3 linked regions of the Sus scrofa genome follow. Each later gene encodes a partner of the first gene's protein in a complex. Links are inferred from orthologs where the notes say so. Each region holds a gene or a part of one and is shown on either strand. Other genes may lie near its edges.

Region 1 (3,586 bases):
CCAGCTCTGAGCTGGGAGGAGGCTCAGCCCCGAATCCAGGACATGATGGGCCGAGCCTCAGGCTGGTCCCGGTGCGGCTAGGAAGGAAAGTGTGCAAGAGCAGGAGAGGAAGGGAAACAAGTTAGGGAGGGGCCCCGAGCGGGGCTAGTGTGCGACCTTGGCCCCAGCCCACGGGTGCCCTCAGCAGCAGCTCGCCGCGCTCCGCTTCACGTGGCACGGCTTGCAGAAGAGACGGTTGTTCAGAGGGTAGCAGCCTTGGTCCGTGGGCTCCACAGACAGGAGGATCCTGCAGTCCTGTGGGAACAAGACACACGTAGATGGACCCCAGGCCTGAGCACTGCGGCCTGGACCCACACAGGTGGGACTCACCAGCACCCACCGATGCAATGAACGGAATAAGCTGAGGGGAGAACCGAGGACACTGTGGGGAGAGGAGGGCCTTCGGCAGAGAGGCCCCTGAGGGATCGTGGAAAGGACTAGAAGGGCCTTAACCTCCCTGAGGTCTGGGGAGGGGTGGGTTCCACATCTGGGACAGGACCAGATCTCCAGCTTCAGAGTCTAGGGGTCTCTCTGTCATCCTACCACCTGGACAGCCCTAACACTGGCACAAACTTTAACATTTCTAATGTCTCTAAATCACCAAAAGATTTTTTTTTTTTTTAATTTTTACGTTTTTATTTTTTGGCATGCGGAAGTTTCTAAGCCAGGGATCAAACCTGAGCCACAGCAGTAACCAGAGCCACAGCAGTGACAATGCTGGATTCCAACTGAGCCACCTGGAAACTCCAAAATCACCAAAAAAGATTTTAGAACGAGGAGGATGGGGATTCAGGGGCCCAAACTTTGCCAATGTCACCATTCTGCCATGAGGCTGCACCTCCTCTGGGCCTCACCAGGACACATATGGGAGACTAATAACAGGAACATTTAATGTCCAGAGACCAGGCTCAGCGCACAGCTGGAATCCTCTGGAAGCTGCCCTGATCTGCCCAGAGGAGCTATTCTCCATAGAGACAATTGGGGTCACGGGTGCCATCCTGACCCAACACAGCCAGCTGGGGAGGGCGCCCTCGTGTGTCTTGTCCCTAGAACTGCACCTCTAGAGTCTCTCTAGGGAATCCTGGGCTAGTTAATGCCAGGACCTGTGCTGTTCCAAAAGGCCACTTGTATGGCATTCTGAGAGCATCGAGTGCCAAACCTCAAGTCCCCAAAAGGCACATGTGAACTCTTCTAAATCAGAATCAAGTGAGAAAACATCTCAACTATGATGGTGTCACACAGTCTGTGAAGGAGCTGTCAGGTGACAGAAAGCCGGCCAGCCCAGAAGAGCAGGGGCAGAACCGCTTTCTTGGCCTGTTTCTTCATCTTAAATGGGGACAGTAAGTCCCCTATCACAAGATCGTCATTAGGATTCAAGAAGGCATGTGTATATGAAAGCATTTTATATATTAAAAACTCAACATGATGGAGTTCCTGTTGTGGCTCAGCGGTTAACGAACCTGACTAGCATCCATGAGGACACAGGTTCGATCCCTGGCCTCACTCAGTGGGTTAAGGATCTGGCGCTGCCGTGAGCTGTGGGGTAGGTGGCAGACATGGCTTGGATCCTTGCTTTGCTGTGACTGTGGTGTAGGCCAGCAGCAACAGCACCAATTCGACCCCTAGCCTGGGAACCTCCATATGGGTGGGTGCGGTCCTAAAACATGAACAAACAAACAAAAAAACTCAACATGATGGAGTTCCTGTGTGGCTTAAGGACCTGGGGTTGCCGCAAGCTGCAGCACAGGATGCAGCTGCAGTGCAGGATTCAGATGCAGCTCAGATCCGTGTTACTATGGCTGCGGTTCCAGCTGCAGCTCTGATTCTATCCCTAGCCCAGGAGCTTCCATGTGCCCCAGGTGCGAGCATAAAAATTAAAAAAAAAAAACTAGCTGAGTATGAAAGTTGTGTCACCCTTCCAACAACAGTAAGAAATAACCTAGACGAGGAGTTCCCGTGGTGGCTCAGTGGTTAACGAATCCGACTAGGAACCATGAGGTTGCGGGTTCGATCCCTGGCCTTGCTCAGTGGGTTAAGGATCCGGCATTGCCGTGAGCTGTGGTGTAGGTTGCAGACGCGGCTCAGATCCCGTGTTGCTATGGCTGTGGTACAGGCTGGTGGCTACAGCTCTGATTCGACTCCTAGCCTGGGAACCTCTATATGCTGCAGGTGCGGCTCTAGAAAAGGCAAAAAAGACAAAAAAAAAAAAAAAAAAAAAAAGAAAGAAAGAAAGAAATAATCTAGATGACAAAATAAGCAGGAATGGCAGTGTGGACAGTACCTTGAAACCCATTTCCCTTCCTAGAGAAACAGGACCCCAAATCTGCTCCAGGTTGCTGCAGCTGGAGGCTTACAGTCTGAAACACAGCTGCTAGAGTCCAAATTGACTCACCGTAGCAGCCTGGGTAATGTTCCCGTAGCCTTGGCCAAGCTGATCAAAGACAAGCTGGGAGGGTAATTTGCTCACTAGCCAGGCTCAGGGAAATGCCACTTGCCACTGGACCTAACGTGGTCTAAGGCAGGGACAACAGCACTTGAATTTCATCATTGTTCTTTCAAGATGCGTTATCACTTGGACTTTGAACTATAACCAACAAATCAACATAATTATGAAGCAGTGTGTCAACTTCTCAGCTAAGCTTCCTGGTCATGTTCAGTGAAAATGGCCTCTTGGCTCCACATATCTGTTTAAATGGGAGGGAATAGGAATTCCCATCATGGCTCAGTGGTTAACAAACCTGACTAGGATCCATGAGGATGAGGGTTCAATTCCTGGCCTTGGTCAGCGGGTTAAAGATCCGGCATTGCCGTGAGCTTGGTGTAGGTCACAGATGCAGCTTGGATCCTTCATTGCTGTGGCTGTGGCTTGGGCCGGCAGTGGTAGCTCAGGCCGGCAGGTGTAGCTCCGATTCGACCCCTAACCTGGGAACCTCCATATGCCATGAGTGCAGCCCTAAGGGAAAAAAAAAAAAAGACAAATAAAAAATAAGTGGGAGGAAATAAAGATTTGGAATCACTCCTTGGCTGGTTAAGAGATTTGGTCTGGGAGTGCCCACTTAGGTGATAACTCTGTCACCATCACCAAGGAAGACAGAAACATCAGTGACATGGGGGTGACAAGAAGAGGGAGGGGAGGACTCTTGGAGCCTCCTCAGCAGGAGTAACTATATAATTTGCAAGGTTCAGGGCAAAAATGAAAATGGAGAGCCCCGTATTCAAAATGAAGAATTTCTAAAAATGACAGCAGAGCTTCAAACCAAGCACAGGAGCCTTCTGAGTGTGGGGCCTGTGTCACCTCCACCCCACTCCCCGGCATTTCCTGCTGGGACTACTGCACGCACTTCCAACCAGCCTCCCCACTCCCTGTAGCCTGAGGTCCAGACTTCTTAGCTTGGCACACGGGGTCTTTTCTTTCTCTCTGGCCCCATAGTTACCACACCATTCGCCATGCTGTACTCAGACACACCTAGAAATTTCTACTTCTCCCGATGCTTCAGGCTCACTGATGCCACTGTGAGATTTTACAGGTCCTTGCCTCTTTCTGCCT
Region 2 (3,586 bases), on another chromosome or scaffold:
CCCGTCTTCTCCAAGCCGGGCCCGCGTGCCTTCACCTGACAAGAGACCACGCAAGGCTCAGGGGCCAGGTGTCAATGCCAGAGACGGCGCGGCAGGAGCCCTACCAGCCATCAGGGGCACCAGCCTAGCCTCCCGGCCGGCGGCACACACCCCCTACCCTGTCGGGATGGAAGTCGGGGGGCGCCTCGCGGATGTCGGCCATGAAGGGGCTGAGGCGGATGTCCTCGCTGTTGCACAGCACGTGCACCGCGTACTCGCCGGCCTCCTGCGGCCAGTAGCGCACGTCGCAGGAGCCGTCGCCCTTGTCGTCACACTCGATCTTGGCCTGCGACGGGCCCTCCACCGAGAAGCCTGCCGACAGCCGCCAGCTCCGTCAGCACCCTGGAGCCTCGGCGGGGCGGCCCTCGCCACGCTCTGCCCCCAGCTGCCAACTCACCCAGGGTGCCGACATCGTCCCCGATGGCCTCCACCACGAAGTCGGCCGACTTGCCAACGACGCCACCCTCCAGCCCGGGGCCCCAGGCCCGCACCTTCTGATTGCCACACTCGGTGCCCACCTTCACCTCAAAGGGGCTGCAAGGAGAGAGCCACGCAGGGGAGTGCCCAGCGCCCACGGCGAGCCCGGCAGGGGGGAGGGGCGCCCGGCCCAGGCCTCACCTGCGCCCGATGTTCTGGCCACCCCACGTGATGGTGACGGTGTAGGTGCCGGGGACCGTGGGGTAATACTCGAAGCCGTAGACGCCATCCCCCAGGTCCTTCTGTTTCACGCGCTCTTCGCCCTCTGCCAGGGACAAGGGAGGGCCTCAGGCTGCCGCCCAGCCGCCGCCCGAGGCCGGCAGCACCCACCCCGGCTGCAGGCCAACTTACTGGGACCCTTCACGACGACCTTCAGCTCCCCGCTGCCCGCGCCTTTCGTGTACACCTTGAAGTCGGCAACCTCTTTCACGCGCACACCTTTGGGTTGCAGGCCCCGGCCGACGGCACGGCAGGCGCCTGGGTTACAGGCTGTGAACGGAGGGCTGGCTGAGCTCCTGGGAGCTGGGGCCTGGCCAACCCTCCCCTGCCTCCCGCGGGGCCGGGCCAGGCCGTCGGGCCGCACAGGAGGGCGAGGGATGTGTGAGGAAGATCCGGAAGGGACCGTGACCCTGGGACCTGCGGTCCAGGCTGGACGTGGCAGGCCTCCTCCCACCTGCTCCGTCCGCCCCCGCCCCCGGCCCCCACCCGGCCCGCCCCTCCCAGCACCCAGAGCAAGACAGATCCAAGTACCGTGGACCCTGTGGGCAGAGCAGAGAGCAGCGGGTTTCTAGACAGCTGGAGCGAGCTCTTCCGAAGGTGAAAGCGTGGAGAGAGAGAGACGGAGAGGCGAGAGAAGGAGGAGGAGGCCCCCGCAGGGGAAGAAAGAGCTTCCCCAGACAGCGGAGGCACAGACAGCCCCAGGGGACGGGGCGGGGGCCGCCTCCCCTCCCGCGGCTGCAGGGCCGCAGCCGTGCCCCACGGAGGCTGCCGGGGCTGGCCTACCTTGGCCAACAGCGACAGTGTAGGGGCTGCGCGGGATGGGCACGCCGGCGAAGGTGACGTGCACCGTGTGCACGCCCTCCATGGTGGGCTGGTAGCTGCAGCGGTACGTGCTGTCGCCCCGGGCCTCCAGCTGAGGCTCCACGGTACCCTTCTGTCCCGCAGGGTCCTGGATCACGACCTCCACTTCGCCCGAGCCGGCTCCTGCCACGAGGCACCGTCTCAGCTCCCAGAGCCCCCAGGCTGCTCCCAGGCCCTGGCAGCCCTTCCCCCAGGGCTGCCGGCCTTGGCACCCCACCCCCCTCACCTGCTGTGAAAATCTCGAAGTAGGTGGTCTTGTTGGCGATGTTGCCGCTGGGCTCCAGGCCGGGGCCCTGGGCCGTCACTTTGCTGGCGTCGCCCTGGGACTTGTCCACATACACCTCGAAGGGGCTCTTGGCGATGTGCTGGCCGGCGAAGAGCACGGTGACCTGTTCCCAGGAGGGGCGGGCTGTGAGGGCAGGGTCGGGGCCCTCCAGCGACTGCCCTCGCCACCAGCCTCCCCTCCGGCCGAGGGCTCACCTTGTGAGTCCCCGTCACCTCGGGGACATACCAGACAGAGAAGGTGCGGTTCTTGTCGTTATTGGCGGTCACCTTCGCCTAGGGTGGGAAGGAGCCCATGAGCCTCTGGTCAGAGTGGCCCCTCCCGGTGGAGGCGCGGCAGCCACCGCCCTGCTTGGCGGCAGTCCTACCTCCTCCTGGTGCCCGGCTGGGTCCTCCACGTACACCAGCACCTCTCCCTGGCCGGCGCTTCTGGTCTCCACAGTGAACTCAGCCCGCTTCTTCACCATGTTGCCCGTCGGCTCGATGCCTGCCCGGGGCCAGGGAGGAAGGGGCTGCCGGTTAGGGCCGCTGCCCCCCACCAGCCTGCCCAAGCCCGCCGGGCGGGCGCCCACGGAACCGGGCACAGAGCCTGGCCTTCAGCCCCCGCCACACGCCTGCCGTGGGGCAGGCCTGGGCCTGTTTTCTAGAATGCTCCCTTGAGTTTGCCTGGGCCTGTGCTCCTGCCTCCTGGAACACGCTCCGCCGCAGGCGGATGGGCCATGGGGAATGTCCCAGCCGGTGGCCGGTTCCCACCGGTCCTGACCCCCTCCCGTCTGACCCATGGGGGCGTGTGACACACTAGCCGCCGCGAGACCTCGAGAGAGAGGACCGCCCCCCCGGGGAGGTCTTTGAGCAGGAGCACCCCGGCGGGCCCCCTCACCTGGCCCGTAGGCTCGGGCCTTCTTCGGATTTAGCTTGGGCCGCAGGGGAGCCCCTGGTTTCAGCTTGGCCTTGGGGAACTGCGACAGGTAGGTCATCACGGAGTGCTCGTCCACGTTGGGGTCCACGATCTCCTCAGGGGTGATCACCTGTCACGAGTGGAAGAAGAAGCCGTTTGGCCTGCGAGTCCCAGGATCCAGGGACGCAGCACCTCAGCCCCAGGCGGCCCACGGTACCTGAGGGATGCCCAGCCAGTCGTCGGCCTGCTGCATGGCTTCCCGCGCGTTGTTCACCGGCTTGCTGGCATCCCAAGAGTCCCAGTCGGGACACAGGCCTGCGGTGTGAGGAAGGCCGTGAGTCCGCGGGCACGCGGGACCTCCCTGCGCACCAACCCCGCCTCCCCCCCCCCCCCGCCCCGCCCCGCCCCGCAGGCAGCCCCCTAGCCCCCGCGCACCTGGAGCACAGCTGTCGACAAGGGCGCCCAGGGCCCTGCCGCTCTGCCAGTCCCGGCTGAAGTTGGTGATGGGCAGCTGCGGCAGCTTGTTCTGGATCCAGCCCAGGAGCCTCTGCTTGGGGGTCTGTTTCTTGGCCTCCTCGTCCTCCTCCTCATCCCACATGGGCATGGAGATGGAGTAGTGCAGGATCAGCGTCCAGATGAGGCCCAGGATCAGCTTGAGGTTCCCGTCCACGATGGCCTTGCTGTCTGCATGGGGAGGGAGCGGCAGAGCTGGGCAGGCCGGCCGACGGGCGCACACGGACATGGCCACGTGGGCTGGGGGGCAGCACACCCGCAGGCCCAGCAGCCCGGGCAGGAGGGGGAGTCTCTGGG
Region 3 (4,051 bases), on another chromosome or scaffold:
CCTCCCTTGGCGCTTGCTTGGCTCACGGAGAAGGAATAGCAACTGGGGAACAGCTGCGGGACAGAGCCGCCTCACAGGCCTCTTTGTTCGGAGGGGCCGAGGGGGTGGCGGGGGTAAGAAGGGCACTCGGCTCCTTCAACCCAGGCTGAGTACCCCTACCTCCTTCAGGGGCGCTGCTCAGCTACCCGCTCCCACCCTGCGCCTAGAAAAGGAAGTGGGGGATCTTTTTGACCTCCTCCCAGGTGCCCAGATAGCCAATTTCAGTCCTGACATGATGCCCAGGAGGCCCCACGCCAACCCCTTCCCACCCCCAGGCCAGAAGGAACTAGAGGAAGCAGGATGCCTGCCTGGTGGGGAACCCGCTACATCTCCCCGGGGTTGGGCAGCCCCTGCCGGCTGTGCCCCTTCCCCTCCAGCCTCAGCCTCAGGTCTAGCAGCTGAATTGCTGACAGCTTATCTCATCGGTGGCGGAGGGAATGAGCCACTTGGCCCAAATGGGGCCGGTTCCCCTACCCCTCTGCAGGAAGGGGAATGGAGGGTTCCCTCCCGCCCCCCAAACCAACTTTTGCTTCTTCCCCCTCTATTCTGAGCCGGCCTCTCCACACACAGTTGAGCCAAGGGGGCCGGAGCCAGGCACCGCCGTGGGGGAGGGGCGAGGTGTGCTCAGGAAGGATGAGGCCTGGAGAGGGGCCGAGCGCCCCCACAGCGGTGAGGGGAGGGCAAGGCTGAGCCATTTCCTATAAAGTCCTGGTGAGGCCCCAGGCTGTCCCCCTGAGACCCCACCTGGGACAATCAGTCCAGTCGGTCAAATTCCAGCTGCTGGGGGATGGCCGCCCCCTGGCCTGACTCCTCTCTGACCCCTGCCCCCCCCACCACAGAAGCTCTCAAGCAGCCCTCAGCTCTAATACATATACCAGGACCCCCTCCCCCACCCCCTGTCCTCAGGCTTGTCCTTCTGGAAAGCTCAGAGACATCTGCTGTGTCACGGAGGCAGGGCTATTTCCAGGCCAGTGAGGGTGGGGTGGGGGGGCAGAATTGGGGCAGGAGGGGGTAAGGCCTAGAGAGGGGGCCGGACAGGGCAAAGGGCCCCAGACTGACCTCAGCTGCTAATTCAGGCGGCCCAGAGATGCCCTGAGGGGGCTGGGGTGTGGACAGACCTTCAATTATCTAAATAAGTCTCTGGGGTAGCCTGGGGGGTATCAGACCCCCTGTGAATCTCCCTTCCTGGTGCCTGGGGGTGCACCCCGCCAAGGGGCCCTTTCCTGCAAATCAAGGCAAGGCTCTGGAGAGCTCACCACAGGAGGAGGGGGTTCGCTAGGCCCCCAGCTTGCGAGGATGACTGCAGGGCCTGCCCCTCTCTTCTCAGAGCCCACCCTTGGCTCCCCACTCCCAACGCTGGAGTGCCTCCCCACCCCCACCCAGCAGTGACACACCTTCCAAATCTGGTTACACTCAAAGACTTCCTCCCTTCTCCAGGCCTTCCCTCCCACCCCTCAGCCCAGACTATTAGCCGCAGCCAATCAGGGGCTAGGGGGTGGGTTGGGGCCGGGCGTGGACGGGAGGGAGCCCCTTCCCCGGCTGGTTGGAGCCGGTGGAGGACAGGCAGGGGTTAAGGATCCCCGCGGTCGCTCAGAGCCTTTTTAGGTTTCCGAGGCTGGGCCCTGCCCGCCCAGGCCCCTGCGCCCGAACCCAGCTGCCGAGCACATGCCTGCGGGGGGCCCGGGCCCCGCGCCCGCCCGGCCCCCAGCTCTCCCTCTGAGCGCTGAGATCGGGCAGCGCTCGGGACCTGTCTTCAGCCGCTCCTCCGCGGTGGAGGTGCTAGGAGACTGAGAAGCCATTTGCTTTGTTTGGGGGGAGGTGCCCCCGGGAATCCGTGTTGGTCCCTGGCCCTGTCCTCTCAAGCCTGGCCTGGGTTGCGGAGGGCAGGAAAGGGGACGATGAGTGGAGGCGGGTCGCTGGGAGCGTGCGAGGGAGGCTGAAGCTGGAGGACTCAGAACAGTCGGGTCTGGACTCCCCTGGGCCCCCTCGGGATGCCAGCCGTCCAGAGAGGGATGTGAGGGCCGGGCCCGGCGCGCCTGTGTCGGCGGGCGGGAGAGCCGAGCCAGGGTCCCCTCCCGGAGCCGGGGCGCTCCCCGCCCTGTCTCGGCTCTCCGCGCGCCCACCCGGCACCTGCGTCCCCTGGCCCCACCGGCCAGCCCCTCCTCGGGGTATGTCCCCCTCCCTGCCCGCACTGACCGATGGACACGAGCTTGATATGCTCGCGCTCGAGGAACTCGAGGGCCACGGACACGTTCTCCAGCTTCATCTGGCGGAAGTTGGGGCGCGGGTGAAACTTGCGGTACATGCGCTTCTGGCTGAGCACCTCGAGCAGCGCGATGAGGCGCAGCCCGTCGCTGAGGTCTCGCTGCAGGTCGGTCAGGCGCTTGCCCACGCACTTGAGGTGCTCATTGCACCAGCGAGTGAACGTGTTCTGCTGGATCTTCTTCCACGGCGCGTCCTCGGCCAGGTCCTTCTCTGTAGAGGGCATGTCGTCCACCTCGTCGCCCAGGCCGAGGCCCGCGGCCTCGGAGTAACCGCTGTTGTTCATCATTCCGGCGCCGGCTGGGGCGGGGGCTGCGCTGCCGGCTGGGGTCTGGCTGGGGGCGGCGGGCTGGGCTCGGGCTGGAGGCGCTGTCGGGGCGCGATCGCGGGACTCGCGGCTCTGCGCTGCGCGGTGCGCTGCTCTCAACTTCTCTCGCGCCTCTGGCTGGCGGGACTCGGCGGGCCTCCTCGGCTCCTCGGCCGCGGGCGCTCTCTCGGTCTCTCTCCCTCCGGGGGCGGAGCGGTGCTCGGGAAGTGCGGGCTGGGCTGGGGCGGGGGGTTTAAGAAGCCCCCGGGCCGCGTCCCCCCCGCCGCGCCCGCGGCCCCCGGGTCCACGTCAGAGCGCCGGCCTCCCAGGAATGCCGCCCGGCCCGCGGGTGGGGGCCGCGCCGAGCCCGCCGGCCCCGCCTCCCTCCCCCTCCCCCACCCGGCCGCCCGCGGGAGGGGGTCTACCGCCCCCGGCCCGGGGCGCGGCCCCGGGGAGGCTCGGGGCCGGGCGCCGCCGCCGCCGCCGCGCGGGAAAGGTGGAGAGCAGAGCTGGAAAGTGAGGGGTGAGGGCCGCCAACACCCCAAAGCTGAACATCGCCGGTCGGGCATATACCCCGCCACCGGCGAGATGAGAGGCTCCTGGGGAAACTAAGTCCAGTGGTTAGGGCAAAACACGCTGATCGGGTGTTGACAGAACTTTCTGGATTGGTTGGTGGCAGGGCTGTTGACAGGGCCTGGGAGTCCTGGCGTCTAGCCCAGGGTATTGTCCACCTGCGGACAGGGAAGGGAAGTGTGTGTGCTTGTGTGCAGATAGACAGACGCTGCCCAACCCGAGAAGCCTTAGAGTAGGGGTGCTCCCCTTGATGGGTAAAAAGTCTCACCTGAAGCCCAAACCCAGGGTCCCAGGGGAAAGACGGCGGCTACCCCTGACTCAGTGTCCCTGTCACCAGCCTGTTTGTCCTCATCCTCTCAGAATGAAGCTGAGCTCAGGAGAAGGGTACCCAGTGAGTCACACGGTGCCCCCCCACCCCCAGTTCTGACTCAACCAAGGTGATGAGAGGGGAGGGAGGGCCTCGGTACAGTAGTACCCGGAAGCCCCCTGGGCAGTGTGCCCATTTGGGCCACAGGGCAGATCCTTCAAGTCAAAGGGCAGGTTAGCCAGACAGAGACAGGAGAGCCCGGCCTAGAGCAGCCAAGGGGAGACACTTTGGGGCTGGTGGGCAGGGAGAGCCCCAGGGAGCCTGCCAGGAGGCCTGGGCAGGACTGGGCTCGGGGTAAACCAAGGCAGCTGGAGGCCTAGGGAGTGGTGACAGCAGGGCAACGGAGACACTTAAAGAGAGCAGCTGGCCTGGGGTGAGTTGGAAAAGCAGAAGGACATACTTGTGTAAAGAGAATACGTATCCTGCAATTCTGTAGGATGTGTGTGTCCCACACCTCCTGGTGTCCCCTTTAGGTCAGACTTTCTCCTCTTTCCCATCCTTCT

The links.
Region 2: the proteins of FBLIM1 (region 1) and FLNA are in contact, whole or in part, in a crystal structure (PDB 4P3W), measured with the Homo sapiens proteins. The link is inferred for Sus scrofa from reciprocal best matches to the Homo sapiens genes FBLIM1 and FLNA. Residues at the interface, in NP_001337080.1 of Homo sapiens: Lys7, Arg8, Val9, Ala10, Ser11, Ser12, Val13, Phe14, Ile15, Thr16, Leu17, Ala18, Pro19, Pro20; in NP_001104026.1 of Homo sapiens: Met2207, Gly2208, Thr2263, Arg2264, Gly2267, Ala2268, Gly2269, Gly2270, Leu2271, Ala2272, Ile2273, Ala2274, Val2275, Glu2276, Gly2277, Pro2278, Ser2279, Lys2280, Ala2281, Ile2283, Phe2285, Cys2293, Glu2306, Phe2311.
Region 3: the proteins of FBLIM1 (region 1) and FLNC are in contact, whole or in part, in an NMR structure (PDB 2K9U), measured with the Homo sapiens proteins. The link is inferred for Sus scrofa from reciprocal best matches to the Homo sapiens genes FBLIM1 and FLNC. Residues at the interface, in NP_001337080.1 of Homo sapiens: Arg8, Val9, Ala10, Ser11, Ser12, Val13, Phe14, Ile15, Thr16, Leu17, Pro19; in NP_001449.3 of Homo sapiens: Thr2339, Ala2344, Gly2345, Gly2346, Leu2347, Ser2348, Ile2349, Ala2350, Val2351, Glu2352, Gly2353, Pro2354, Ser2355, Lys2356, Ile2359, Phe2361, Asp2380, Glu2382, Phe2387.

The regions. Positions count from the first base shown.
Region 1 is NC_010448.4:74,957,311-74,960,896, reverse strand, and holds part of FBLIM1 (filamin-binding LIM protein 1), read right to left. Parts: intron 295-3,586; coding exon 181-294; 3' UTR 1-180. UniProt on the Homo sapiens protein: Serves as an anchoring site for cell-ECM adhesion proteins and filamin-containing actin filaments. Is implicated in cell shape modulation (spreading) and motility.
Region 2 is NC_010461.5:124,896,630-124,900,215, reverse strand, and holds part of FLNA (filamin-A), read right to left. Parts: intron 3,461-3,586; coding exon 3,212-3,460; intron 3,092-3,211; coding exon 2,994-3,091; intron 2,907-2,993; coding exon 2,759-2,906; intron 2,366-2,758; coding exon 2,247-2,365; intron 2,155-2,246; coding exon 2,077-2,154; intron 1,986-2,076; coding exon 1,823-1,985; intron 1,720-1,822; coding exon 1,519-1,719; intron 1,012-1,518; exon of another isoform or gene 1,006-1,011; coding exon 868-1,005; intron 782-867; coding exon 658-781; intron 574-657; coding exon 437-573; intron 352-436; coding exon 158-351; intron 36-157; coding exon 1-35. UniProt on the Homo sapiens protein: Promotes orthogonal branching of actin filaments and links actin filaments to membrane glycoproteins. Anchors various transmembrane proteins to the actin cytoskeleton and serves as a scaffold for a wide range of cytoplasmic signaling proteins.
Region 3 is NC_010460.4:19,784,782-19,788,832, forward strand, and holds the start of FLNC (filamin-C), read right to left. Parts: upstream 2,836-4,051; 5' UTR 2,591-2,835; coding exon 2,236-2,590; intron 1-2,235.